Notamacropus eugenii: one gene and its partners. The protein of the gene in region 3 interacts with the protein of the main gene of each other region in a pairwise test. Links are inferred from orthologs where the notes say so. Each region holds a gene or a part of one and is shown on either strand. Other genes may lie near its edges.

What was found.
Region 1: the proteins of CEP63 (region 3) and PPP4R1 interact in a two-hybrid assay, tested with the Homo sapiens proteins (2 studies listed by BioGRID and IntAct). The link is inferred for Notamacropus eugenii from reciprocal best matches to the Homo sapiens genes CEP63 and PPP4R1.
Region 2: the proteins of CEP63 (region 3) and TXLNB interact in binary tests that used the Homo sapiens proteins (3 or more experiments, as listed by UniProt). The two-hybrid records come from large-scale screens. The link is inferred for Notamacropus eugenii from reciprocal best matches to the Homo sapiens genes CEP63 and TXLNB.
Region 4: the proteins of CEP63 (region 3) and NDEL1 interact in a two-hybrid assay, tested with the Homo sapiens proteins (2 studies listed by BioGRID and IntAct). The link is inferred for Notamacropus eugenii from reciprocal best matches to the Homo sapiens genes CEP63 and NDEL1.

What each region holds. Positions count from the first base shown.
Region 1 is NC_092875.1:233,538,219-233,545,873, reverse strand, and holds the start of PPP4R1 (serine/threonine-protein phosphatase 4 regulatory subunit 1), read right to left. Parts: upstream 3,097-7,655; 5' UTR 2,911-3,096; intron 2,897-2,910; exon of another isoform or gene 2,482-2,896; 5' UTR 2,381-2,481; coding exon 2,374-2,380; intron 2,065-2,373; coding exon 2,020-2,064; intron 1-2,019. UniProt on the Homo sapiens protein: Regulatory subunit of serine/threonine-protein phosphatase 4. May play a role in regulation of cell division in renal glomeruli. The PPP4C-PPP4R1 PP4 complex may play a role in dephosphorylation and regulation of HDAC3.
Region 2 is NC_092873.1:225,871,662-225,879,379, forward strand, and holds the start of TXLNB (beta-taxilin), read right to left. Parts: upstream 3,119-7,718; 5' UTR 3,029-3,118; intron 1-3,028. UniProt on the Homo sapiens protein: Promotes motor nerve regeneration. May be involved in intracellular vesicle traffic.
Region 3 is NC_092876.1:333,964,330-333,972,127, reverse strand, and holds the start of CEP63 (centrosomal protein of 63 kDa), read left to right. Parts: upstream 1-4,718; 5' UTR 4,719-4,798; coding exon 4,799-4,803; exon of another isoform or gene 4,804-4,928; intron 4,929-7,798. Other genes in the region: ANAPC13 (anaphase-promoting complex subunit 13), read right to left, coding at 3,361-3,459. UniProt on the Homo sapiens protein: Required for normal spindle assembly.
Region 4 is NC_092873.1:77,336,466-77,343,582, forward strand, and holds the start of NDEL1 (nuclear distribution protein nudE-like 1), read right to left. Parts: upstream 3,145-7,117; 5' UTR 3,031-3,144; intron 1-3,030. UniProt on the Homo sapiens protein: Required for organization of the cellular microtubule array and microtubule anchoring at the centrosome. May regulate microtubule organization at least in part by targeting the microtubule severing protein KATNA1 to the centrosome.

The DNA of each region.
Region 1 (7,655 bases), on a different chromosome or scaffold from region 3:
CAGAGAAATGCAAATTAAAATAACTGAGGTACTACCTCACACCTATCAGATTGGGTAATGTGACAAAAAAGGAAAATGATAAATGATGTGAGAAAATTGGGACACTAATGCACAACTGGTGGAGTTGTGAACTGATCCAACCATTTTGAAGAGCAATTTGGAACAATGCCCAAAAGGCTATAAAACTGAGCATACCCTTGGATTCAGCAATACCAAGCCTAGGTCTGTATCCCAAAGAGACCATAAAAAAGGGGAAAGGACCTACACGTGCAAAAATATCTCTATAGCAGCTCTTTTTTGTGGCGGCAAAATATTGGAAATTGAAGGCATGCCCATCAATCAATTGAGGAATAGCTGAACAAGCTGTGGTATATGAATGTCATGGAATACTTCTGGGCAATAAAAAACGACTAGACAGATTTCAGAAAAATCTGGAAAGACTTGTAGGAACTGAGGCAAAGTGAAATGAACAGAAACAGGAAAACATTGTACACGGTAGCCGCAACACCTTGCTATGAATGACTCAGCTCTTCTCAGCAACACAATGATCCAATACAAGTACAAAGGACTCACAGACTAAAATGCTATCCACATCCAGATAAATAACTAATGGATTCTGAATGCAGATCAAACCATATACTTTTTCACTTTATTCTTTTTGCTATTTTTTCTTTTGATCTGTTTCTTCTTTCACAACTATGACTAATAAAGAAATATGTTTTACCCTACAGCACATGTATAACCTCTATGAAATCACCTATCATTTTAGGAAAAGGGGAAAGGGAAGAGAGAAAAATTTGAAATTCTAAATCTTGTAAAAATGAATACTAAAAAGTCTTGATATGTAATTAGGGAAAAAATAGTATTTAAAAAACAAATAATTCTTGGATGAGCCAGTTATCCTCCAAGGGTTCAAATAAATGGAGCTGTTTAAAAGCTAACTATAGTTTGCTCAAATGTAAACTTTCCACTCAATAATGTCACCTCTCTACCAATTCTATTTTATTATCCCATTCCCTTTAATTACTTAAACACCTAACACAAAGATAAAGAACCTCAAAATACAAATAAAATGCCCCCCAAAAGCAAAGCTGAAGGTCCTTTAACATGGCTATACAGTAAAGAAGTTTGCCAGTTTTATGTCATTTAAAATGGACAAAAGTGAGTACCTGCCCTTGAAACCTCAAAGGCTTCTATTTCTTAAAAAAAAAAGAAAAGGTTCCAGAGTTCAAAGGCTTGGGGCATTTTTTTCCTTTGCATTCTAGAAACACTTTCTGAACACATCACCCCCACTCTCACAACTTTTCCTAGTCAACTTTCAAATACCTCCCAATAATTTCTCCAAAGGTCAAAAACGGAAAAAATAAGTCTCAAAAGTCTTGTTCCAATGAACAATATGGGGTATCTGATCTCTACTCTGTGGGTAGAAGGAAAGTGAACCACGAAAACTGCCAACAACTTTCTGCTCAGTTTTCCTACAAGAAATCCCATCCACACCGATTAACTGTTAACAACGGACATCTCCAGCGTGGTTTACTAGCAGAGATGGGGGCGCTAAGGCAACAAATAGAGCCAAAACAAAAACGCCACCCACCCCCCGTAAGAAGACACACTGGCAGCATTCCAGCCAAACCAGCTTTTCCCTCATTCCCACCCAGGAGGAGCCAACAGAATTCTTGGGCGGGGGAAGAGAAGCAGACCACTCGGGCTTCCTGGCGGAAGTGGAGACGACCCTGGAGAGACTAGACAGAGATGGCACGACCCCCCCTCCCATGTTCCTCACTTATGCCACCCCCTTCCAATACACAAGGTCAACTACGCTCCCTTCCCGGCCCAGCTCGGAGCCCAGTCCAAGTTTCTGGATGCCCACTCCGGGCCTGGGCCAGGCCGGGCTCGAGGCGGCGTCCCCCTCCCCCCGTACGAGGCCTGGGGCGCGGAGGGAGCCCCGCAGCGGGAGCCGAGGGCGGGGGGGCGGCGGCAGAAGGCTCCGGCCCGGCCGGGAAGCGGAGCGATACTCACATCCTTCAATTTCCTCCTGCAGGTCCTCCTGAAGCAGTGAAAGATCTGTGAGGGAGGTGGGGGAGGGGGCGGGAGAGAAGAAAGGGACAAGGTCAGCGCCCCCCGCGGGGAGGGGGCAGACCCCTCCCCTCCCAGTCCCACCCAACCCCCCCAACTGCTACTACCACTACCACCACCACCACCACCTCCCCCGGCCCCGCGCGCCTTCCCCCCAGGGCTCGCCTCAGCCCGGCCCCCTTTTCTCCCGCCCCGTCCCCTCTCCATTGGGACAGGACCCTTCTGGCCGCCTGGCTAATAGGGCGAGAGGCCGGCGGAGCCACCGTGGCCAGGGAGAGCAGGGGGGGGTCCACGTACCCGCCATCTTGCGGTCGCCCCCTCCTCCTCCGTCTCCCGGGGATCCGGGACTACATTGAAGCGGCGCGAGGCAGGGAACCGGTGGACGCGCGCGCACGGGCGGAGAGGCTGGGGGAGGAGGAGGAGGAGGAGGTTGGGGGAGGGGGAAGGGTGGCTAGGGGCCCGCGCGCGCGAGCCCGCGTGCGAGCTCCAGACGGGACGGGACGGGATGGGACGAGACGGGACGGGACGGGACGAGACGACGGGATGGGACGGGATAGCGCGAGGGCGGAGGGGGGTGGGGCGAGAGAAGCAGCGGGGCGGAAGCCTAGGCTTCGGTTCGAGTATCCGCTGCGGTCACGGGGGAACTCTGGTGACAACGCCCCAAAGGCTGGGAGACTGCGAGGACGCGCGCGAGAGGAAGGGGCGCCACTGGACGCTGCCGCGCGTTCACCCCGTCCTCGCCTCTCCTTCCTGCGCGCGCGCACGAAGAGAGGACTGTCTCCCTTTTCTGCCCCCCCTTCCTGTTCCCTCCCCTGCCCTCCCGGACGGACTCACTGAGCGCGCGACCCCGCTCTGTGCCCCCACCCCCTTCCCCCGGCGCGCGCCCGCGCGCGTGCTCGCACACACGCACGCCCGGAGTCGCGCCGGGGCTTAGCGCTAGCTCCAGGAAAGAGGCATACAGCCCGCCGGCCTGCACTAGTGCCCGGCGTGTGCTGCAGGCTGGGGCTTCAGGCGTGGCTCTCCGTCCGGCGCGGCTGCTCCAGCCCCCCCCCGCCCCCCCCCCCGCCCTCCTTTATTTGGTCACCAGCTGGGCCTCTCTCCCAGCCTTCCTCCCCCTGTAGCCCCTCTTGTTCTTGGGTATTCTCTCCGACCTTGCGTGTCACCGGGCCCAGGCAGGCCCTGCTCTGACGGGCCGGGACAGCGACCGGGAAGTCCGTGTGTCCAGGGAGAGCGGCGGAGGACCGGCAGCGCTGCGGCTGAACTCGGCGCCGTGCCCCCGCATCGCGCCCCCGGGCCTCCCCGGGGCAGAGGGGGAGCCAGGGCACCCCAAAGGGGGCGGTGGCCGGTGGGGGGGCCGGGGGCGGACCCAGTTATCACCTAGGTTTAGAGTGATCCATCCAGCAAATATTAATATTAATATCCAGCCTCCTAAAGGCCGAGCGGCCTGCCGAAGCACACCCCGATAAAAGCCGGGGGCTTGCCCGCGGGGAGCTTGGGGTTTACTGTATAGATGCACGCACGGGTAAATACGCCGTGGGTAGAAGGGTGCCTCCCGTGTTTTAGTGCGGCGTTAATCGCTTCCGACCGCACCGGCTCGGAACGCCGTCCGTTCATATAAGTGATAAGTTTGTGTTGTGTACCAGTATCCGGGGTGTTGGAAGTCGGGGCCGTGCGTGGACTGTCTATACACGAGGTGCTCCTTAGTGTAGGGTGCGTGCCTCTCCTTACCTCTTAGGATCTACTATAGGTATCAGGCGGATCTGCACAGAGATGCACAAATGCATTGTTCTTGGGGCAGCCTTAAGCTTTCACCTTCAGCTTATTCTTTGTAGTAATTAACTTTAAGCCTTTTTTTGGGTCTGACTGATCCGCTAACCCTCAGAAGTGGGGTGCCTGCCCTGGAGTACTCCAGACCCACTCCCTAGCGCTTTCGGTTCAGTTTAACAAGCATCCTGAAGTCAGGGACTGTGCTACCTGCTGCAGGTACAAAGACGGCACACACCTTCAGAGCTTACATGCAGGGTGAGGGGAGACAACCAGCGTAGAAGTAAGAATATTCACATTTTTCTGTTCTTGCCCCCTCCCCCAGCTCCATTTAGGTCCTTTGTTTGTAATTGTACTACAGTATGTTCTTTGTCATATGTTACAAATTGTAAAAGACAATTTTGCTGAAAATAAAGAACAGTAAACTTGGCATGTCCAATTTGTACTACCTTGTACTATTAGAAGTTGGGTTTTGGGGGAAAAGAATTAACTTAAATTGTTTATCAACTGAATTTCTTAAATTGTATTTTAACAGGTTTTACCAAGGTTTAATTCCTGCCGTCTAGGAGTCATTTGGGCAGTCAGGCTTCAGAAATTTGTAATTTTGTTTGTATATAAGTTATATTCTATACTCATGAAAAATTCCTTTCCTTGGACTTGTAACACCCTCACATAGGCTGTATATAGTTAGGCATATTTTTCTGAAAAGAATGACCTGGAATTAGCCATGATAGGAAAAAAGTTATGACTTTAGGTGTTAAGAAATGTGTGCTCAGTTCTTTAAAATATACAGTAGTATGTTTTTTAAGAAGGCCAAATTTTCTCAGCCCATTTCTTCACACTTACCAAATGTTCTGAGGTCTACTTCTGACAACACTGTCTCTCAGAATGACACGCAGAAACAAGAATTATGAAATCCATCAGGTTAGAGTAACAATTCATCTAGTTTGACAAACTGTCTTTCAGGGCAGAGGCTAGTACTAGTTACCTCAAAGGAAGTCATTTTTTGCCTTATATTAATTGATTTGATGCACCTGGCTAAATTATGCTTTTCACTGGGGGAGAAGATAAGAAGAAAAAGGACGAGGATGACTTGATGGAATTATTTAGAAAATTTAGGTATAGAATTTTAAGCAAATTTTTAATCCTAAGAATAAATATTTTCTGTTTTTATTTTATGAAAGAATTTCTGCCTGTAAATTCAGCTGTAATCTTCTTAGTACATATTCTCTAACAAGAGTTTTCTTGACCATTTTGTTGAGGGGATCCTTCATTTAAAGAGCAACAGAAGTATAAACTCATCTACCACATCTCTCCTTTCTAAACCATTGATGGATGCATGGTGGCTTATGAAGTACTCCAAATGAGGTTACTTTGTTGGGATTTTTAAAAAGAGGTATTTAGACAAGAATAGCAATCATTGTTTTCTTGCCCCTTCCCTCAGTTTCACTTACAATGTAGTCTGTGTGGTGTGAGAGAAGCTGTGTGTTGTCTAGTGTTCAGAGCACAGCACAGGGTCTAAATTCTTATTCTGCTGTGACATCTGTAAAATAGTTGATACAAGTTAAAATTTTTTTTTTTGTAAAAGTTCTAGCTAAAGACTAAATGACTGGTGACGCTAACATTTCTATGGAGAAAGACTATTCATCTTACAGAGAGCAATTATGTTAACCTCCTCAGAGTTTTATAATTGATGCATTTAGCTCATCAACAGGAACTTAATGTCATTGGGCAGATCATCCTGAATCAATGAGAAAAAAGAAACCTGACATACCTTGACGCTGACCCATTTATATAAACTCTTGTGCCGGGAAGTAAACCTTTTTTGGTCTCTGAAATGGTCGTTCCTGAAAGTATATAAAAAGGCAGACTTGTCAGTTGCTATTCTAAATTATAAATAATGATTTAATCTGTATAAATATCTATTCAGGAATAAGAGAAATCAATTTGACCAACTCCAAAAGTATTCCTTTCAACCAACTTACTATCATTAATTTATATCTTTTCATCAATCATTGTGAGTCTCCTTTCCAACTGCAGGGCAAAGATTTCTCCTTTTAATAGTCCCTTATTTAAATAAAGCCTTTTGTTAGTACTTTTTAGTGCTAAAAAAAATCTTTTTAGGTAAATAAATGTACATGTGGGATTTTTCTCTTTCTTTGTGGTTTCAAGTCCCTTTCAAAATTTCATACCATGATGACCTCCCAGAAAAAGAGAGATTATTCTTGGCCAGGATTTTAATGGTTCGGTTTAGTTTGTAATGAAGAGATATTGGTTCCTCTTCTCTCAAATCTCCTAAAATAGACATTTCATAGATCCTTCTCACTACAATAAAGGATTGAAAAAAAAAATTCCAGGTCTGAGATCCTTTGAGATTTTCTTCCCTTCAAACTGTTCTCTCTCCCTTGTGTATCAGTGTCATTGGAAAGCTGAGGCCTAAACTACATTGGAACTGACTCTGAAATCTGACTATATAAATTCAGATATGGCAAAAAAAATAAACCTTTTAACACATGCTTGATCTGGCCATAACTATAACAGTGTACACTATTAGTACAACTGCTGTTAATCTTGTGAGAAAATGAATCCTTTTTTTTCAATTCTTTATATCCTTCTCTGGACTGGAATTCCACAAGATATGGCACATTGCTCCCATTTTGCAGTTCTTCCATCTAAAACTGGGAGAATCTATTAAACTTGCCCCAGGAATAGGAAGAAAACTTTGGTCTTAATGAGCAAAACAGAAAGCTATGAAAACTGGAAATTACTTAAGTAGCATGCCATGGATAAAAAAATAAAATGATGTTGTTTTCTTTGTGCTTAGGCAAACCAACGAAAGTTTTAGTTTTTAGATATTATAGCATATTAGAACTAGGAGGAACTATTTGTTGTTTAGTTATTTCGGTCATATTTGACTCTGTGATTCCTTTTGGGATTTTCTTGGCAGAGATAATAAAATGGTTTGCCATTTCCTTCTCCAGCTCATTTTACAGATGAGGAAACTAAGGCCAACAGGGTTAAGTGACTTGCCCAAGGTGACACAGATATTAAGTATTTGAGGCCAGCTTCAAACTTGGGTCTTTCCCTCTCCATGTCCAGCACTCTATCCACTGTGCCACATAGCTGCCCTTAGGAGGGAGGAACTATAGATATCATTTAGTCGACTTTCCTCATTTTTACAGATGTAAATACTATCATACAAGTAAACAATGGCAGAACTAGGATTTTAAAAGCACAGTTTTCCTGACTTTCACCCATCTTTTTCATTCCATTACAGCTAGGAAGGAACAGAGAAAAGTCCCAAACTCTTTCACAATTTTTGGAATAATTAGGTTAAACAAAGTTTTACCTAAGCCAGGAAAACCTATGAATAGGTTTTCAACGTATTCAAAAGCAAAAAGCTCAGTAATTAAATTAGAACCAAGATTTGTGGTATTATGAACTTCTTGCTTAGCTCCTTAATGGGTTAGCTCATAATCACAATTATGTCAGCTTCCTAAGGTGTAAAAGTTATACCCCAAACTAACCAGAAATTCATTTATGGCCCTGGTGTCTAGGCCTGCCTATTTAGAGAGGTAGGCCTTTGTTTTGGCAAGCTGAATGAAGGTTGAATTAGTTAGGAGAGATTTGATTGATTAGCATCAGTGGAAACTTGAGCTAGGGTAGTGGCAGTATGTAATGGTAATTGAAATGGGAAGGTCTTTCCCATTCATTAATAGGCCCATCTGACCTGCTTAAGTCACATGGAAGCCTAAATCACATGAGTTTGAGTCACATAGAACCTGTGGTGGGAGGAGTTTGCTGAATGGGTAGAG
Region 2 (7,718 bases), on a different chromosome or scaffold from region 3:
TTACCTACAAAGAGCTAAAAATGTGACTTTCATAGAGAGCAATGAAAAAGTACATGGTGACTATGAAGAGGCTACAGCATATAACCAATAGGAAACTGAAACAGAACAGGAGTGAAGGAAGGTATAAAGGAATTGTACGATAGGAAAAGAAGATGGGTTGCTCACTTGTCAAGACTGAGATACGACAAGTGGACAGCCAAAGCATTCCATGGATACCTTAAAATGCTGGAAGTGAGAAAAGCCTGCAGAACATTGGATGGATCCCCTGTGGTGAACTTTTGGGAGAATATAGGTAAGCCTTACACATGGGTTGGGAAGGCATGGTTGAATCAAGATATGCATTACTGGAGGGAACTTTCAAATGGATGGGACCACTCATCCATTTGCATTTTTGAGCATGACACAGATGGATAAATTATAGACCTCATCCACTAGTGTCTCTATCTGTCTTCATGTGTGTAAATATATATATATATGAAATTGTGATTCTCCATTAAGTACGCTAAAACTTTTTCTAGAAAATTAGTACTGTTTTTTCAATATCAATATTCTGTCCTGGTCACATGGTGGCAAGGCATAGAATGCTATAATCTATGAACAATTAAAAATTAATATCATTCAAAAAACAATGGAGAGACACATGGGTTTATATGTATGTGTATGTATATATATGAATGCATATATGTGTGTGTCAGGTTGTAACACTCAGGACATAAAGAGCTACAAAGAAAAACGAGTAAAAGATGACAAAAATACATGATAGAAAGAAGAGATGTGCTAGTCATGTGGAAAGATTGAGAGATAGCTGTCACCTCATGTGCTTCACTGGTATTTTTATGACATGAGGAGAAAGTAAAGTTGTTTGTTTTGTTTTTTTAGCACAATGGCAGCACTCCCTCAATAGCAAGCTGCAGGGAGAACATGGTCAAGCATAAGATGGGCAGGCATAGATGATTTGTCAATTGCATCATTGGAAAGAACATCCACACTGATGTTACTGTGGTTGCATCTGAGTGAATAACAGGTAAGATCATTGATTCTATGACACTAATAGGTGCGTTAAATATTGTTTTAAAGAACTTACTTTACTATAAATAACAGGGAGAATTACCCACAATGCTCGTTTGGAAACAAGTTGGAATTCTCAATTTAAGTAGATTTTGGAAGCAAAGATATTTGTTGTTTTACATTCTATCCAAAAGCTAGAAACCTGAGAGCACAGTGGTTTAAAGGAAAAAAAACTCTGAATGTGCAGTCAGAAGTGACTCAAGTTCTATTCCTGACAGAAGACCTAAGTCTTGGCTTTCTGCCTTTGATATCTACTGTGTGACCATAGGAAAGTCATTTAACTTCTCTAGTCTCATTTCTGAACCTGCAAAAAGGGATTAATAATAACATAGAATAATTTTTATAATAATAATGATAATTATTAATAAGTACTGATCTTATAAAGTTGCTATGGGGATCAAATGATGTAAAAGAACCTTATAATTCATAAAGTTTTATATAAATATTGGCTCTTATTATTAATCATTGGGCAAAGATCAGTCCTGGTAAAACTTGGAGTCTATGATTGTCTTGTCCTGTGTCCTATCAAGTACTGCAGATTAACTTGCGTTGGCACCTGCTACATATACTTCATTAAATTGTAGTAACTTTAACCTAAGCCAGCATTTAGGCTCCTGTTGACATCAGTTCTATTAATACCTACTGATCCATTTATTTTTAACAATAAAATTGGTTACTCTCTTAAAAAAAGAGACCCCATTTTAGTCTCTTAGTGTTTTGTAATGATATTATGTTGAGTGGAATAATGTAAGTATAGGTGCTGTATGAAATAGATGCAGGATCTGTTACCCTTTCTCTCACCAGTGTATTCAATGCCAAGATCTTAACAAGAAACAGAAAAGTTCTTCAGTTTAGACAGGTCCCTCTCTTTTCTTCCCTCCAAGGCAGTTTAACAATGCAACCTGCCAGCATCAGCTCAATACTGACAAAAAAGTAAATTCTCCTTTTTTTACAGCATTTTTGTCTAGCCAGGCTTCTCTCAATCAATTTTATAAAGCACTTCTTCTTTTTCTTAATCACAGGCATTTTAATTTGATCCCTGTAGGGTACACACATCTGTCTATATATAGCTTCTGCCTCTCCCCAGCAGAAAGACACATGGCACCCTCTGTCCAGCCAGAAGTTATTTTAAGCTCTTCTAAAAGGAGGTTTGGTATTTAGTTAACACTTCATCTTTGAAAACCTTAGAAGGAGAACATTATTTTAAAAAATTAAATCCCCAATGGGAAGAATTAACAAGTTGAAATAAATACATTAAAAATGATTAGGTAACATACTCATATACATATCTGTATACTTAAAGAGGTCCTCTTTGGTTGAAATCAGACCCAAATTTACTCAGATTCTGTAAATAATAAATATAAATAGTAGCCTGTGAACACAGGATCTGGGTTTCGGCCAGTGGAACTTGTATATGAATTTGCCTTGTATTTTTCAGGTGTAAAGATTACTCTAATTCCATATAGTAAATCTATTGTAAGCCCTCTGGATTTTCACATTATATTTGCTTTTAAATAGGAATAACGAGTCACTGAGCACTCAGGGATCCTCATTTCCTAAAAAGTAGCCTGACGATATCAGAAAGAAGGCTAGTTTAGGAAAATTTCTGTGTTTCTTTTTAATTGTCCTTTTCTGAGCAAATACTGATCTTCTAATTAATTGCTGGTGGTCAAAATAGGGAGTATTACAAAACTTTCTCTTGTATAAACTTTATTATCTTGACTTTTTTTCATTCTTAAGACTGAAAATTTTTTACTACCAATTTTGGCAGAAGATTAAAGGACCCCCATACCTTACTGAGGAGCATTATTATTATGCACAAATAAAACCATGGAAAGGCTTCAGCAGTTCACTGTCAATCTCCAAGTTGAGCTGTTTGGGCGATGCACACCTCCCCTCCACCCACAACCCCAACCTCACAACTTTTAAGGTTACTTCAAAAAGTGTTTGTTGAACTTACCAGTAGGCGAGGAACAAAGCAAAGAGAGGAAGAGAGAGCCAGAGGAAGGAGGTAGTTAAAAAACAAAACAAAATTTAAAAACCCCAAGCGAACCAGCAGCAGGGCACAGCAGGAACCAGAGCCAGACACTCACCCCTGTTCCTGAGAGAGAGTGAGAGAGAGAGAGAGAGAGAGAGAGAGAGAGAGAGAGAGAGAGAGAGAGAGAGAGAGAGAGGTGGAAACACACATACACACAGAGTGAGAGATGAGAAAGGGGGGTGGGGGTGGACCAAGGCACTGAAGCTTGGATGATATATATAGCGAGGGATAAGTAATATGCAAAATTTAAATGTGATACCTGGGGTGGGGGGTGTTCAGAGATAATTGGCAACTTCTAGCACTTAACAGTTTCTTCCACTTTGTTATTTTTTTCTAAGAAAAATGGAGACAACTGGAGAGGCCCTTTCCCCCACTGCATTGAAGGCTAGAAATACTGACAGCTAGAGTACCTTTATTTTGGGTCAGTTAATTTTTTCACCTTGGAGGGTTTCTCATTCTGGCATTCAGCATTTCTCCGGTATGGTTTGTAATTTCTCTTCCTTGTCCCTCTCATGCTAGTTTAATTAATTAGTGTTTTGTTCCTGGGTATGTGGTATCAGATTGCTTATGGAGAAAATGGGTGAGGAGGAGAGGGAGAGATATATGACTTTAACAATGTAAGAAATGAAACACTTTCTTTATGATGGGATGATATTTACTTGTACGTCTTGAAACAACCAAAACAAAGCAAACAAACAAAAAAAAACCCACCATGAAATACCAAAGTTTCTTGTCCTGGTTTGTAATTTTATCTATTATGTGCCCTTCATGATGGGCTAACCTGGGGGTAGGGAACCTATGGCCTTGAGGCCACAGGTAGCCTTCTAGGTCCTCCAGTGCAGCCTTTTGACTGAATTCAAGTTTTACAGAACAAATTTATTTATTAAGGGAATTTGTTCTGTGAAGTTTGTATTCAGTCAAAGGGCCCCACTTAAGGATTTAGAAGGCCTCATGTGGCCCTGAGGTCACAGGTTCTCCACCCCTGGTAACCTCTTTTCCTTATTATTGGTACTCTATATGCCCTGAGAGAAAATTCCTATAGTAGTGCTGATTGAAGGTATTGCTAATATTATGACAGTATGGTAAGGAGTCACAGAATTCCATCTTTGCAGCTTTCCTTCACAATTCTGCAATAGCATATAAAAAAAGATGCCAATTTCTAATGGATCATTGTTACAGTACAGTGCTGAATGACATAGGAATGTAGTGTCCTAAGCATGGAAACATTTTTATTAGACTTGGAATAGATTTTCTATTGTGAGACTTTTAGGGATTGCTTACATACTGAATAATTAATATAGCCTGTGGAAAGGAACAATGTATGGGAAAAAAACTGCTAGATTTTTTTGGAATTGGAAGACCTGGATTTATGCTCCAGCTCTAACCTAGAACTTGTTCTGACTTTAGACAGCTTTTAGGAGTCTCAGTTTCCTCCAATGTAAAATGAGGTCAATAATACTTAACCTAACTGAGTTGTTATGAGGAAAATGCTATACAATCTTGAAGTGCTATACAATCCTGAGTAATTGTTATTTCTCCGAATTATATCATCTGCAAAAATGTGCATGCATTTACTTAAATGATCTCTAACGTTAAAATGTTCAATAATTGCTAGTAGCTAGTCTTGGATTGCATATCTCTCTAAGCCATTCTCCACACCATTGCATAATTGATATTCCTAACATGTACATCCAACCATGTCATTTCCTTGCTCAAGGAACTTTGGTGACTCCGTATGTCTCTAGGATAAAATACAAATCCCTTTCTTTGGCAGTTAAAGTTCTTTCTCAGTCTGATTTCAACCTGTCTTTTGTGACTGTTTCTTATCACTTCTCCTCATGTACTGTACATCCAACCAAACCAATGCCATACATGACAGTCTTATCTCCCATTTCTGTGTCTTTGCAAAACTCTCCCCATGCCCGAAATGGGTTCCCTTCTCACCTTTATTTCGTAGAATCCCTTAGCTGGTGTTCAGTCACTTCAGTCATTTATGACTCTCTATGACCCCATTTGGGGTTTTCTTGACCATGATGCTGGAGTGGTTTGCCACTTCCTTCTTCAGCTCATTTTTACAGGTGAGGAAACTGAGATAAACAGGACCCAGGCTCACCCAACTGCTTAATGTCTGAGTGTGTATTTGAACTCAGGTCTTTCTGACTCAAAGACCAGCACTCCATCCTCTGCACTATCTAGTTGCCTCCAGAATCCCTAGCTTCCTTCAAAGCAGAGATTGAATACTACCTAGTATAGTAGGGCTTTCTTAATCTCCCTAGTTATTAGTGTTCTCCCCTCACCAGCATTATTTTGCATTTAATCTGTATTTTTTCTATATACTTATTGGCATTCACACTGCTTTCCCCTAGTGGAACTCAAGTTCCTTAAAGAGATATTTTTTGTCTTTTTATCCTCAACAACTAGTACAGTATCTAGCACATAGTAGGTGCTTAATACATGATTGCTGAATGGATACCCTCATTTAGTTTTCATCACATTTAACACTGGATATTGCACATATAAGTTTCTCATGGAAAATATGTGAACACACTGTTACAGTAGAAAGAGCCTAAAATAAGATCATAGGACTCTGGTAAAAAAAATGACTTTTGATACCATCCAACCAACCTACCACTTTCCAGAGGATGGGGGGACTTGCCCAAAGTCACTCAGGTAGTAAATGAGAGGGGATTTGAACCCATGTAGTCTGACTCCAAATTCAATCATTTTTCCACTATTTCACACTAACTACTCTTCCTAAGGCTTTCCCTTTCTCTTTTCTCTTTCTCCTTTGGTGACAACTGGCCATCTTTACTGAGTTTAAGGAAAAGTGAAGTATACTAGTATAGATGCAGTTCATGGATTTCCATAGAACATATTTCTGAAAGTCTGAAATTACTTTCCCAATCTTTGTTATTGCTATTGTTAAATTAATTAGCAATCCAGATAAGGGTAGGAGATTGTTAAAATGTGATCGCCTTTGTGATGTTATAATCTTGCAAGTGTATCAGCCCAACTGATAAATGTTCTTATTTTTCTGATGCTTTTAAACAGATAAAGTTTACTTCCAAATAAAGTTTGCTTGATGGCCTAGAAACTCTGAGTAATCAACCCTAAATACTTAATCATTTTTGGGGGGAGCACCACACCTCTTGGGGGGCTTTTCTGTGTTTGTTTTCTTTTGAAGTTGACTTGACTGTCATAGTGAGGAATGTAACTCAGAAGACCTTGGTGTGCCATATGTGGGAAGGGACACCTGGAGATTTTCTTTTTCTGGATTTCTAGTAGAATGTTCTTTGAATTTCAGGGATCCCTGGAGAAAAATGGGAGTACCTTGCATTGTTGCAGGGGCCCAAAAGAATTAGACTACATTATGAGTGTAGACCTACAGAATAGGGGGAGGGAAGTTTAGTTTAATAGGGAAAGAGCCAAGTGCCACAACCTCTCCCTTAGCTAGTTTGTAGGCAACAAGCCAAAATAATTTGGTTTCTCACCTGAAGTTGAGACGTTGACTATCACTTGACCTCAATCCCTTTAGGATTATCTGAGAAGCTCTCTAAGGAACAAATTTCCTTCAGAGATAGAAAGCTAATTTTCTGACTGAAAAGGGTGACTGGTGAAAATCCTCCCATAGAGAAGCTGCAAGTCTGCTTATGGAAAGGTATGACAACTTGTAATAAAAAGGCTTTGCTCAATGATTTGGAGCATGCCCAGACATTCTGCAACTGGTTCAGGCCTGCTTACCCTGTGGCAAAGAGGAGCCTTTCTGATTGACTGTGAATTGGAAGTGAGTATTCAACAGGCTCTATTAGATGACCACAGTGAGGTTTCATCCTCATTCCTGCCTGGCTGTGAATCAGTGAGGAGTCAAAAACAGTTGAAAGTTATCGGTGGAGACAGAGAGGTCTCAGGCCTTTATTTCCCCACTGGGCCACAGTAATATACTTTGCTCTTGCTTTTTTGTTGTTGTTGTAGTTTGGTTGACTTCTGTAACTGATCTCTACTACTGTAGGTGAAGGAGTAATGGAAACAGCTCTGACACTGTGAACTTCAAAAGGTCAGAATGATGTGTCCTCAGAAGTCTGAGAGCTTGAGTCTGTGCTAGACCAAAAGCAAGGTTCCCAAGGAACAACCTTGAGGACTCAATCTAGCAGCATCAAGTTTAGCAGTAGGTGAGACAAGGATTCATTCAGTAACTATTCTGAATTTTGAAGTAAACTAGGGGATGAGGTTGGGGAATGAATTCCTTATGGCAAACCTTAAGTCTGAGACCACTATCTCCATGGACTAGACTAGGGTGGCACGGGGAGAGTGTATGCTTAGTTTTGGGGGAATGGTTTATATCTCTATTCATATGTCTTCTCATATCTCTTTGAAAAAACTAATTGACATTAGTTGGCTAAATGCATATAAGGTGCCAATCATTGGTGATTGATACTTGAAGCACACAGCAGAACTGGGTCTCAGGCTGATACTGTTAAAGACAGAATTTTCCAATCCCTCAAGGGTATCTCTGGAACCCAGAGTGGGGGAATATAGTCATGAGGCTTGCTCTAGAGATCTGATTCATCAGTGAAAATGGGAATTCAAGTAAGGACTCCTAGAGTTTTAAGGG
Region 3 (7,798 bases):
TGAAAGCCAGAAATTCAACTAATAATCAACAAGCATTTATTAAGTGTCTACTACATGCTGGGCCCTGAGGACACAAAGAAAAAGTGAAAAACTTCCTGCCCTTAAGCAGCTTGTATCCTACAAGAAACATCTACTAAATGTTGGAGAAGATGGAACACTAATTCATTTTTGGTGAGGTTGCAAGCTAATCCAACCATTCTGGAGAGCAATTTGGAACCATGCTCAAAGGGCTACAAAAGTGTGCATACCCTTTGACCCAGCAATACTGCTTCTAGGACTGTATCCCAAAGAGATCATAGAAATGGGAAAGGGTCCCACATGTACAAAAATATTTATAGCAGCTCTCTTTGTGGTGGCTAAGAACTGGAAATTGAGGGAATGCCCATCAATGGGGGAAAGGCTGAACAAACTGTGATATGTGAATATAATGGAATACTACTGTGCTTTAAGAAATGATGAACAGGAAGACTTTAGAGAAGCCTGGAAGGACTTATATGAACTGATGTTGAGTGAAAGGAGCAGAACCAGATCATTGCACACAGTAACTGCTACAGTGTGCGAGGACTTTTTCTGGCAGACTTAGCCCTTCACAGCAATGCAATGACCTAAAATATTCCCAATGGACTCGAGGTAAAATGCCAACCATATCCAGAGAAAAAACTATGGAATTGGAACACAGAATGAAGCAGCATATTTTCTCCCATGTTATATTTTTTTTGTTTGGGTTTTTTTCATGGTTTCTCTCATTCATTTTAACTCTTAAATGCAACATGACTAATGTGATTAATAAGAATGTATGTGAAGAACCCATATAAGATTGCATGCCATCTTGGGGAGAGAGGGAGAGAAAAATCTAAGACTTATGGAAATGACTGTAAAAAACTGAAAACAAATGAATTAATAACAATAATAAAAAGAAACAACATCTACAAGGACATATCAGGTATGCAAAAGAAAGTGAAGACAAGGCCTCCTGGGAGTACGAGAGTCATTACTGATCATTTTACTTCTTTTGCTGCTTTAAGAGAGGTCCTTTTCTTTTTCTTGGTATCGCATATATTTGTCAAGGGTAAAATGCTGTAGAAGGAAAGAAGAATCAGCAATTTTCTAAGTCAGTGTTAATTTTATAGTTTTATAGGATAATTATGCGTTAAAGATTTTTTGGTCCAGTTAATGCCAGTGAAAAATACTCATTTTATGTGAAAGTCAAATGTACTTGAAGAAATTTTAAACACTACTAACTATTCACTATTAAAACCCTCTTCTGATGCTGGGTTGTAAGAGGTTATGTTATCTTCTAAAGGGTCATTCCCAGACTACTTCTTAAAGAGGCCTATTCACTCAATGGGCAGTACCTTCTTCTAAGTGAATACCTGAAAAGTCTGAGTTTCCCCACTGCATCCTGGGCCTTCTCTAGTCATCCTGATGAATATCTGGTCACTGGATCCAGATGGCCCAGGAGGGGAAGTGAGACTGGTGACCTTGCACAGCCCTCCCTCACTCAAAACAAAGTCCAGTGCAAGTCATGTCATCATTTCTCTGGTATCATGGTCTTCTTCGAAAATGAAGGATGAACACAACAACCAAGCAGGGAAGGCTCTGGGTACAGAGATGATAATACACTGTGTATTTTGTTAAGTGAGACCATTAAAGTTCAGAGGTGTTAATCACATGAAAGTTGGATATCAAATGAGGAACATTTTTTCAGACCCAGTGACTTACAAAGACAGTTATAGTATAGAAAAGCTGTGACTTACTTTGGTGAAAGGGGTGGAAGAATTCACACCTATAATGTGATGGATTCTGGATGTACTAATAAAGGTAGACAAACTTAGCTCAAATAAAAAATTAACACCAACAAAAGAAGTGTAAAGCAAATATATCAATAAATCATGGGTAGAAAATATCTGATTCACTGGCTCCAATCTGCTCTTGGGTTGACTTGAATTGGCCTAAGAAAAGTATTCTCAAATTCTGGGTACATATGTGAAAGTTTCTGAGATAGATACAGGTCTTTATCCTACACAATGGATATCCTTGCTTTATTTCAAGGGTTAAGCAAAAATGTTATTTCAAAGTGGGGTTTTTGAATGTTTTCTTTTAGGTCCTCAGTCCATTTTACCTTTTCTTTTTTGATCCTTAACTTAAGGTATATCTCTTTGTTATTTGTAGTTATTGAATAGTTTTATATTTTCCGTTCTTGATTTTTAAAAGTAGGTAACATGAACGTTGCATAGTTCCTTCAAAAATAGCTAAAGTTGTTTTTACCTGCATATGACCTGTGACTATTTCCCCTTACCATCCCCCCACCTCTTAACAGAAAAAATATTCTTCCACCTCTTTTCAATTATTTTCTTCTCTTTCAGTAGGTCCTTATGATATACATAGGATCTATCATAAGCCTTCATTAAAGTGAAAAATAATATAATTACAGTCTCTTAAAAAGTTGGAAGCAATTTTAGAAATTACTCAGTTTGGACCTGAAGTATGAATTACCCCAACATCTTTACCATCCTATAAAGAGTGCTATGGTAATTTGTTAAATTTTAACTCAGTAAAAAACAAACACAGGACTAAACTTAAAAGTCCAGGGACATCTACAAACGTGGAAGTTTAAGTCTTTTTTTCAGAAACTTGGTAGGTGTAGAGAAGAGAATAGAAATCTCTCAGAAAATCTTGGAAAGGTCTAGCATCAAAGTATGGAGGTTTACAAAGAGAATAACTGAATGACAGATGAAAGTAAAAGAAAGAAGAGAATATTATTTAGTTGTTCTAAGGTATGTTCTTAGCTCTTTTTAATTTTTTCCATTGATTTCAGTGGTTCTGACTCTTAATTATTCTTGACTTATCTCTATATAGTACATTGATAGAAGCACTAGACTGACATTCAGGAGATCTGTCACTAACTAGTTTTATGTTCTTAAGCAAATTACTTAACCTCTCTATGCCTTGGCTGATTTGCTTTGAAAGGATTGGAAGAAATAATTTTACATCCATCCCCTCCTCTCTATTTTTCATTGCTTCAGGTGGAGGGCCACAAAACTAGGAGGCCTAGATCAGCAGTGTGAAATTCAAACAGAAACAGACCTATTAAACTCTTAAGGATCCCTGTGGCTGTATATTGATTAGAAAACCACACATTAACATTATCTTTGTTCTACTGTATTTTTATTTAAGAACATTTCTTAATTAAATTTTAATTCAGGCCCACTAGGGAAGTATATTTGATAACTCTGGTCCAGATAAACTGCTCCCACTGTGAGTCATGTGCCCTTCCTCCTTTCTGCTTTTGCTGGGTTTGCTAATTAATTGTTACTTACAATGGTATACCCATTCCCTTATTCATAGCATGTTACCTACCAGTGGTATTGCAACGTCTTCATAGGGCAGCTTATCTTCTCTCCAAGCATCATCAATCAGATCCAGAATTCTTCCATCCCTCTGTACCTCACTGTCCATTCTTTTGTGATTTTGATTTTCTTAGACCTATGGCCTACAAGTTACAGTTCAGAAATTTGGTGATGAGTGAATTAAACACACACACACACAACTAGTTAATTTTCTGAATTAGTCCAAATGTACTTTAATTGTTTTGTGTCTGTGGACGTGGCCTGAGCTCAAAATAAACATAAATGGATGACAGCTGGCTGACAAGTTTTTGATTCTTTTTTAAAAAGAATTTTACTTCAATAAAGTAAAAGGATCCATTTTCAGTATTTATACCCAGATCAATGAAACCATGGATGTTTCAACTTTTTCTTAGCATTTATCTAAATTCTTGTATCCCACATTCTTTTCATTTTCTTCAAAGTGCTTGCTGCCCTCTTTTGTCATCTACTATTCCTCTTATCAGAATACATGTTATAAGTCATCACTGATTAATTTGTTCTTTTTAATTGTCACATACAGTGTAAGCTCCTTAAGTATAGATAAGGATCACTGATTTTCATCTTTGTATTCCTGACTGTGTGGCTGAGAACTTCCAGCAGAAAGCAGTGAAAAAATGTTTGAATTGTAATCTTATATGGCTATTGAATTCCTATCCTGAAACCTCAATTAGACCAGAAGCTCATTTAGAGCTGAGGCTGTGACTTAAAACAGTTTTATCACCCCTGAGGAAGCAGCACACAATAGGCAGATTTTGGCAGATTTTTACAAACTTTCAGAAATTTACAAACTCTGCTAACTTTTAGATTAGCAGAGGGCATGGCACATACTGCTTAATAAAAGCCCTGGGACTATGAATAGTTGTAAGTACTATACAAAATCAAGTAACAGAAGAGAGAGACACACACAGACACACAGACACACAGACACAGACATACAGACACACACACACAGACGTTCGTCTTACTGCAGTTTGGGACGAGCGAGGCCAGAAGAGAAAGGAGAGGGAGGGAACGACACTGCCCTCCAGTATCCTCCTTAGGGGACAGAAGGGTGGAAGAAAAGAGCCGAGACTCTCCTGGGGTGAGCACAAGGGGACAGGGGAGGTACAGCTGCAGAGCAGCAGCATACAATGTAACCAAACCAGCAGACCTGGAAAGAATGTGAAAGGGATGCGCATGCGCATGCTCCGAGTCTCGCGCTCGTTTCTCCGGCGATCATCGCGCAGGCGTGTTGGGGGAACCTCCGCTCCAGCGCTCTTCCGCCTTCAACCGCCGCGCCAATCTGCTCCTCCGCCAGCCAATTCGCCGGAGTCACGTGATTCGTAAAACCCTTCCCCTCCCACCGTTTAGGCCCAGCGAATGACAGTACTAGGCTGAGTCAACTCGATTACCTTAGGAAAGTGGGGAGGATGAGGTTGGTTCAATTCATTAAGGGGGGAAAAATTTTTTTTTAAAGTGGGGAGGGGGCGGAGGGAGGACGAGTGGGCGAGCGAGGAGGCGGTGCAGAAACGTCGGCGGCGGCGCGCGCGGCCGGGAAAGGTAACGGCGGGAGAACGAGAAAGGGGCGGGGGCGGACGCTGCCGCTGCTGCGGACGCCTGGCGGGGCTGGGTGCACGGCCTGCGTGGCCGCGGGGCTGAGGCCGCTGAACGGCGTCGACGCGCTGCTCCTTAGTCCGCAGGCGCGGGGTAGCGACTGCGCGCTTCTTCCCGGCGTGCTTTTCGCCTGGCTGCGCGCTGAGTGCGGCCCATGGCTCCGCAGGGCGCGTCGGCCAAGCCCGCCGTCAGGTGCCCGCTCGCCTTCCTCGGGTCCGAGGGCGAGTGCTGGCGGCTGGGGTTCGTTCGTTAGCCCGCCTCGGGCCATGCTTGAAGTGGGTTCCTCCACCTCCCCTCTAGAGGAGGCGGCGGTGATGGGGGCCACGTGTCCCCGGCGGGCGATTCAAAAGCAGTCCGAGTGCGCCTTGTGCTAGAGCGACTTAGGCCGAGATTATCCTCCTCCCCCTCCCTCTCCTCCCCCGCTGGCCCCCGAGAGGCCAATGGACCTAGGTCCGGGGTTCAGTTCAGTTCAGACGTTAAAGCACTTACTAAGTGAGGGCACCGTGCCAGGCGCTGGAGGTATTAAAAAAACCCATCAGCTGGGCAAGCCTCAGATTTCCCTAGCCCGCCGTTCTACAGGGTCATCAATTTGCTTCCACTTGGACCTGTCGCTGTGGGCAAGCCACTTCCCCGTGCAAAATGGAGGCATTCATCTCGGAGGATACCTAGATACTTTGTATCCCTTTGCTTGGCCTTGTCTCCCCTATTAGTTGTAAGATACGTGAAGACTGGCCCTGCCTAGCCTTTTTCTTGTATCCCCATTGCTTAGCCCAGTGACTTGGCACACAGTAGGTGCTTAATAAATGTTTGTTGAATTGACAAGTCATCTGATTTAATTGGTCTTCAGTTTCCTCATGTGTAAAATGAAGGGGGTGAGGGATGGGGATGCATTAGACCAGCTAGCCTCAGAAGTTCTTTCTCTCTCTATGAAATGATCCCATGACTCTAGAACCTCTAAGGTCCTTTCCAGCATGATTTGAGAAGTTTAGGGAAGGTACCCCCTCTGATTAATAAGGATGTATGTGGTGTCTAGGGAGGATGAATACTCCTGGTGTGAGGGCTGTCATCCAACTGTCACCTGTGGCTCCAAGAAGTTGTAGCATGTGCTGTGGTCACAACCCACTAAGCCAAGTTTAGAGTAACCCACTGCCCTGGAGCCCTTCATTAAGTTGCGGGGAGGGATGTCTACCTCACGCATGGATAGACTTCCCCAAGCAGATCAGAACATTTTGTTCCAAGAGCCATGCAAGGGCTGTGGAGTGCTTAGTGGTTGGTCAGACATCAAAGAAGCCAAGGTCATCCACTGCAGCCTTCCATCAATCTACTGATTTTTGTTTCTCCACTGAACTTCAATCGTTCTGGAAGAGAGAGTGAGGCTGACTAGCCCTCTTTGAAAAGGAAGGAGGAACAAAAACAGCATTTTGCAGTTGTGGTGCCTGAAGGGTCTATTAACCCTTTCTGTTCAGAATCCTGGGAGACCTCAGTTAAAGTGAGGATTTCTTCCTAAAGAGGATAGTACATCAAGCTACTTGACCTCTCTATAAATACTTTATTATGAGATTGTTGATCAGATCCTTTCCAAGATCCTTTTACCATGGGTATTTATCTAGACCAGGAGTGGTTTGAGGCCAGAGGTTTCCCACCTTCTGTCTAGACTAACCTCAGCCCTCCCTCACTCAAAACAAAGTCAAGTAAAAGTCATCATCATTTCTCTGATGGCATGGTCTTCTTCGGCAATAAAGGACAAACACACATCTCTTTTACAGAGGAACCTGAACCCTATGGCCCATTTCCCAGAATTTCTTTAGAAAAACCTAGTCATTTTTATAGCAACTTTTGTTTATTGCTTTTTAAAAAGATGACACCTCATCCCATGTTTTTCCTAGTTCTAGTGATGTTGTGAACATTTTCAGTTATATAAGGAATAGAGGTCCTTAACATGAAGGATTTCATGGTTAGATTTGGGAGAGTCCAGGAACTTGAATGGGAAATTTTTAAAAAAATTTTTACTAAGCAACCTATAATTGAAATTTAGGTTTTCTGTCAATTACACATGTAGGTAATAAACCACAGCATCATTAATAGTACTTGTGACTTTATCACTGGTAGAAATCACAAATATTTTTATGCCATGTTATAGTCATTGCAGATACTTTGGAATGTTATGTATGCCCACCACTACTTTGAAATTACTGTGGATTTCAAGGGCTTGTAGTCTTTCCTGTCTGTGGGCACTGGTGAGACATAGCTGGTGAACCATTGGAGTCTATAGTTTTCACCAGATTGCCAAAGGAATCTATGACACAAAAAAGTTTATTAACTCCTGCAGTAATTTTCAGTTGCCTGAAATAACTTTGAAGTTTAACCCCTTCCTCCTTCTCCCTTTCCCCCATTGACAATGGGAAAATTTAGTGAAAGTATTTTTTTTCTTTATTAAAAGTGGTCTGTTAGAGTAGAAATACCTGTATCTGTATAAGACCTTGCACACACTCATTTTAAATGTTAAATTACAGTACCAAATAATCAAAATTTATCCAAATTAGTGATGATGCTAAGTGCTCTACAGAATTTGGGTTTGTCTGAATGTTTGAGAAGGTACAATGGCATAGGTATTAAGTTGATACCAAATTGTTACATCTGCATGTATGAAAATTATAAGTAAATTAAGGCATTATGCTTTGTTAACTTGGATTATAGTGACCTCATCAGGTCAGTATTGTGCCTGAATTCAAAAGAATTGCTTTTTCATTAATCATTTCTTTTGTTTCTTTAACCTCCTTACATTTTGGTCATTTTACTGTTTGCCATAGAGGCAG
Region 4 (7,117 bases), on a different chromosome or scaffold from region 3:
TAATAAATGTAGCCCATTACTAGAAACATTACTGAAATGACACCACCAGTTTAAGGAAGGGAATTCAAGTTTTTAGAAGTGGGTACTGGCTGTACAGAAAAGCAGGCAGGCAAGACTAAGGCTCCTCAGGACATAAAAAGTTTGCTTACAACCTCCAAGAAGTTAGCAATGCAAAAGTGGAGAAAGTCATGCTTCAATCCATAAAAAGGGATTCTTAAGCACCCTACGGGAACAACAGACTCATGCCAAGCAAAATGAAACATAACAGAGATCTCCAAGAAAACATAAGATCAAAACACTCTGGCAAACAACTTATTGAAAGTAACCCTATTTTGCCAAAGAAATCAAAGCTTCGTTGATGGGTTTTTTTTAAAGAGATAAAAAGAAAAAAAGCATGAAGACAAGGAAAAAGCAAGGAATATAACTTAATTAATAAAAGATACACAGAATAGAGACCATTTTTTAAGTCACCAAGGTACAGTGGATAGAATGCTGGACAGGCAGAATCAGGAAGATCTGAGTTCAAATCCCATTTCAAACATTTATTAGGTGCATGACCTAGTAGGATAATTCACATAACTTCCCTGGGCTCTTTTCTTCATCTGTGAAATGAGAAAGCTTGGCCTATTCTATGGTACCACAGTTTAAGGAGTTGTCTTTTGTAAATTTTGGAGTAATTTATTTGTTGGGTTGCATCATTCTGATTTTTGAAGTATGGAGAGACTGTAGCATTTACCTGTTTGTATTTATTTGGTGGGGGAGGAGATAGAAAGTGATTATATAGGAATGTGGGAGGAAGGACCAAAAGTCATTGCATCCAGTCACTTCCTGATTGGCTGAGAGAGATCCAACTTATATAATAGGCAAAAGAGTTTGACCCAGCACACCCAAGTGAGGAATCTCAAAATCAGACTGGTAGCATTCTAGTAGCCAAGACAATATTCTTTGATGCAGTCATGACAGAGTCAGCCATGGCAGCATGAGTTTACCAAGCTAGAAGAGGGTCAGCACCCACCTGGCCAGGAGAAGTTTATTTAAGTCATAGGTTAAAAAGTTTAGGTGGTACTAAGTCTGAAATTAGCTTATTTCTAATTACCTTGTCCTGAATTATTTATGAATTTCTATGTTCTCTTTTCCCTGGTAAACGAATTCTTTAAAAAAAAAAAAGCTTTCATGATCTGAAGCATGTGGAAACAGGATAAAAAGAGAAAAAGAAGCTGATGTAAAACAGGACACCTGCTTCTTTGTAGCAACACCTTAATAATGACAAATTAGGAGCAGTTGCAGCAGAGCTACAGACCCAAATGGCCAACCTTTGGTTCAGTGACCCAGGAAAGTACATAAAAAAGGCACAATGCCTTTAGTGGGGGGGTTCAGAATGTGGTGAAAAGTGAAGGCTCCAAAGTTCAATAAAAAGTCTGGATTAGTTAAGCCTAAAACTCAAGGCTGGATCCCTGAACACCATGATCAGAGACAGAATACTGGACTGGATGTCCTATCCCAAATCTGACCCAGCAGGACAAGTCTTATGTCAAGCACTATTATACTGTACATGGCATACATAGCTACTAAGAACTCAATTCAGTAGACATCTCTTGCAACAGCCTGCTTATCAAATCACTCCATCTTAGTCTAAATTTACTTTTGTATCTAAGTACAGTATTTAGAAAAGCTTTATGCTACTGCAGCTTATTTACAGTTGTCACTAACTATCCTCTAGCAGCCAACAAGCCCATCAAATACTCTTTTAAACCTTCTTGTTAAAACAAAAATATTCTAAGGTTTTATTTATTTTTCAAAGTTCTCTAATTTGACTTCAATTTTTCCCCAGAGTTAAAGTCAGAAATTAGAATGGAAGAAAGCTAATTAGATTCACTCTAACTGAAGTAGCTGAGATTGACTGATTGATGAACTTCAATCAGCTGAGAAAGGTATCGGGAGGACACAGTTTTTGGTCCCAGCTCCACTTTCAGGTTCAAATTCAATTCAATAAACGTTTATTAAGTGTCAGGCAGGGTGCTAACCCCCGAGGACGCAAAAAGAGGGAAAAGAGAGTCCCTGCCCTCAAGGCGCTTACAGTCTAAAGGGCAGACAAAATGCAAACCAAGATATACAAAGCAAGCTATCTACAGGATAAATACCAAAGGACACAGGGAAGGCTTCCCGTCTGTGGTCTGATTTTAGCTGGGACTTAAAGGCATAAATAGAATACGTCCAAGTGCTTGGAAGAATCGCCGAACTGTAAGACAGTATCACCATTCAATTATATACTTGGGAAAAAGAGTAAGGCACCTGCAGCTCAGTACAGTGGGCAGAGCGCCGGCTCTGGATTCAAAGGGCTGGGGCCAAATCCTACCTGGGATACTACCTGTGTGTTCTAGGGCAAATCATTAAACCTTGGTTTTCTCATCTGTAAGATGAGGGGGGTTGGACTAGACAGCTCGAGGTCCCTTCCAGCTCTAGGAAAAAAAACCAAGGCTGCGATGCCAACGGTTCCTCCGCGACACTCGAGAAGCGACCTGAAAACACCTGGGGACACTGAATGGAGCCCAAGGCCTGCCCCCAGGGAAGGGAGGGCACGTCGCGACCTCCGCACCCCCACCCTGTCGGTACGGCTGGGCCAGCCCCGGTGCCCGCCGTGCCACGTCCGGGATGGTCCCCGGTGCCCGCCGTGCCACGTCCCGGATGGTCCCCGGTGCCCGCCGTGCCACGTCCCGGATGGTCCCCGGCGCGCGGCCCTCTCGCAGCGCCTCCGCCGTCTCCCCTGCCCCGGGCCCTCCATCTCCCGAGAGGGGTGCGGAGGTCCTGGTGGGCGCGGCCACTCCCGCACGGGAGCGCGGGGCCGACGGACTGACAGCGCCGGGCTGGCCCGGGCGCGGCCCCTGCAGGTAGGCTGGCTGGGCCGGCAGCCCCCGGGGAGCCGGGCCCGGCCCCGCCCCGCCCCAAGTCCCGAGGCCGCGGGCCGGCGGAGAGGCCCGAACCAGCCGCCCAGCCCGGGCCCTTCCGGTCCTTTCGGCGCGTCAGTCTCACCTGGACGGTGTCAAACGGACATTTTCGCGGACCAGACTGGACCGGACCGGACTCCGTCCTCGGCGCCTCGATTCCGCCTCCTTTCTAGCCTTCTCCAGCGAGCTCGCTCTCGCTCTCGCCTCCTCCCCCGTGCCGCGTCACGCGCACCGACCTCCGCGCGCGATACTTCTGGCGGGCGGGGCCGTCACAAGCCGCTCTGTGACGCAGCGCGGAGAGGGGTGTGGGTTCGGAGCGTCCGGGCTCCCGGGCCCGAAGGGAAGGGAGAAGGATGGCGTCACGGGGAGGGGAGGGGAGGGGAGGGGAAGAAGAAGGTGAGGGCGGCTATTCGGGACAGCTCGGGCCAGCCACGCAGGAGTGGGAGAGCGTGGCGGAGTTCCTGCGCAAGCGCAGAGGCTGCCGCACGGAGCTGAGCGCAGGGCCCCGCCCGCTTCCTCCACCACGGTCCGCGGCCGGTCGTCCCGGGGCTCCTCCTGGGGAAGAGTTGGCCTCCCCTGCGTGGGCACGGAGGCCGAGCTCGATCGGGTCGGAGTCCCACCCTCCCTCCTGGTCACCTGCTGTGTAGCCGGGCCTCAGTCTCCTCTAATGTAAAATAATGTAAAAAGATTTTTTTTAACCTTAAACCGTCTTTACGCTCTTAAAAGTGACTGAGGATATCCCCCCAAAAAGAGCTTTTGTCTATGTGAGTTATTTATTAATATTTGCTGTATTCGAAATTAAAACGTCTTTGTATTATCATGAAAATACCTTCCTCCTAGCGGACAGCCTGAAAAGATCTCTGGAACCCTCTGGACCACACTAGGAGAACCACTCGGGCCCGATGGACCCTATGGTCCCTTCCAGCTAGCTCAAAGGCGGGGAGCACGCGCTTGAGGCCCTAGAGGGCCACGTGTGGCCTCGAGGCGGCGGGTTCCCTAGCCCGGCCTTTATCACAGAAGCCTGACAGTGCATCCCTCGCCTCATGCTGGTTCTTTTACAATTCTTGTCAGTTTCAAAGCTGCCCTTGAAGCTAATTTTAGAAAATCTGGAGAGGAAGGATACAAATGTATCCGTGCAACGGAAGAATGGGAGAAATGGATACAAGGGACCTTTCAAAGGAAGACAGCGGCGGCGTGTGGTTACCGTTTGGATAGGAGGCATTTAACGAAAAGAGAAGAAAGTGGGAGAGAAGAAGGGATTTGGGATCAAAGGTGACTGGGGCCTCCATCAAACACAAAGTAAAATACTTTTAGACTGGCAGGTAAATTAAGGACATCAGAAACAATTAGGAACAGTTTTCTTTATAAGGGCCGGTATCTATGATATTCATGAAGTTTTTCAGGGGACTGCCTTCCTTGTAGACTTGACTGTGATTTGTAACATCCATCATCAGTCTCCTCAAAAATATCTAGCTTCTCCTGCCTTCCTAAGATAGGTCGTAACTTACCCAGAATAGTTGGAAATCTTGTCATTTCACTATGCAAAATATTAATTTTGAATATAGTAGGTGCTTAATAAATGGAATCAGTGAATTTGCTGTCACTTTTCAGTAGGACAGGAAAATAAAAAGAATTAAAGCAGAATTTGTTAAATGCCTACTTTGTTTCTGGCTCTAAGTTAGACAACATCGGGCTAAGTCCTTGACCCGAAAGAACTTATACACCTGGTAGGAAAGATAATAGTTAATATGAAATAGCAATAAGGAAATAATGCAAGGCAAAAAAAAGAAGAGAAGACATCAATATAGGCCATGGTGGTTAGGAAAAAAAAAATCATAGAGGAAGTGAAATGTGCGTTTTACCACCAGATAACTAGCAAGCTGAGCTGTCAGTTATCCACTGACCATCTGAATTAAATGCTCAAGTCTATGCTTCCCCAACCCTTCTTGTAAGGAGCTTTCCTAGCAACCACCTCTACCCCTCTCGGGGTCTGTCTTTCTCTTTTAAAAACAGTAAGTTTTTAGGGCAAAAGGGAAAAAATTACATCCCTTCACTGGTCTTCTTTGGGTCTCAATTTGGGTCTCAATTTCCTCATCTAAAAGAGACTCAGGTAAAGATTCCTCAGCTAAAAGATTCTAATCCAACCTCCACATTTTACAGATGAGGAAACTTGGGTTTTGCTCTAATTTTAACCTTCTTTCCTCCGGACCACACCAAGGATAGTATAAGTAGTGGCAGGGGAAGCAGTAGATAAGAATGAGTTTGATATGGACAATGGGACCAGGTTGACTGGATAGAATTCAAAATGAGGTATAATAAGAGGTAAAATTTAAAAAGGGTACAGCAAGATTATGAGGACTTTTGAATGACAGGAAGAGGAAGGAGTCCAATGATGACTCCAAGGTTTTAAATATGGGTGACACAACAGTGACTTGTTGACAAGAAATCAGGAAGCTGAGTGGAATAACTTGTCTGGGTGGAAGATGACAAGTTTAATTTAGGTCATAGAATTTACAGCTGTAATGAACCTTAAGGTCTGAGAGTCCAGCCCCGTAATTCTATGGAAGAAAAAACTGAGACTTTGAGAGACATGACTTTACCAAGGCCACACAGCTAATAAGTGGCAAAGCCAGTTAATAGAGAATATTGAATAGTAGAGAGAGCAGAACATCTATTAGACAACTATTGTTTACAGGATTGTAAGTGAAAGATAAATACTAGAAAAAGAAATTCAGAAGCCATCCACTTGGAAGTGGCATGCGGAAGTTACACATGAACTACTGAAGATGAGCACCCATCATTCACAAGGTCATGAAAATTTGGCCACCTCCAGATTGTGATGGGTGAAATCTGAAGTCACAGAGGAAACAAAAGTTCAAGGTTTCAAGCATCAATTTATTAAGCAATATATGCCTATGGCATAACAAATTGGAACCAGGCCTCCTCAGCTTGGCACTAGACCCTTAATACAGGAGGAGACATCCTTATGTATTGAAAACAATTAACAAGATACAAACCCAGATACAAATTAGATAATCTGATTTCTAATGGAGAGAGGTTAAGGACTTTCTGAGTTGGGAGAGGTAGAGTGAACAGGTGCAATTCCCTGAAGTCAGAAGGAAAAAAGAAGTGTTTCACTTTCCCCCTGCTCCTCAAATGTCTATATTCAATCAAAGGAACAAGAAAACCAGTATAGGCCAATTTTCAGTTAAGACATATGGGTTCCTTGAGATGTAGAATTGTAAGAAAACTCCTTGATCTTGGTTCTGACTGGGTTTCTGGTCAGCATAATCTAGGTCCTTAGTTAAAGTTCTCTAAGCAACAAGTAGAGGTAGTCTAACTTCCTAACTATGCAAGGCTAGTTTTAAGCAAATGTAATAATGTTTTCTCACCATTCCTATAATTGAATAACATTTTCTCGCAGGACAGAAATTGGACTAGATCCATAATTGAATAGAAAGGGAACTGAACTAGATCCAGAATTGAGTCACAAGATGGAATCAGTTTGGTTCACTCAATTCCCACGATTCTTCTCCTTTGATTCCTGGGAGAGGAGACTGGCACCCTCTCCTATAAATCACTTATCTATAAGTCAAATCTATAAGGTTTTCCATATATTCATAATCGGAATTATATAAGTCAGGTTATAGATCAGACTATCTAGAGGGTTCACAATGAACTCATTTTGAGAAGGGAGATTTATATCACCAACATAACTTCAGCAGACCTAAACACCATGAAACAAAAGGCCAAAATAATACAGTGATAATCATCAATATTAGATAACATTGTCTTCTTCTATTCTAGTAATCCACTGTTAATGTCCACTTAAGCATCACATATTGTCTTAAGTCTCAGTTTTCCCATGTGGTCATCTGGTCCCTGGAAATATCTTCTGGACATTCTGAAATAGGCCTCATTTTCAGAATAGCTCTGAAGAGGACTTCGCTTCTCTTTTTCTAAATCATTTGTAGAGATTCCTAGATAATTAAAGGCAGCAAGGTGGCTCAGAGCACTAGGCCTTGAGTCAAGAAGAACTGAGTTCAAATATGGCCTCAGACACTTACTAGATCCTTGGCAAGTTACTTAGCTTCTGTTTGCCTTAGTCCATTGGAGGAGGGAATGACAAACCACTCCAATATCTTTGCCAAGAAAACCCCATGGAGATATGG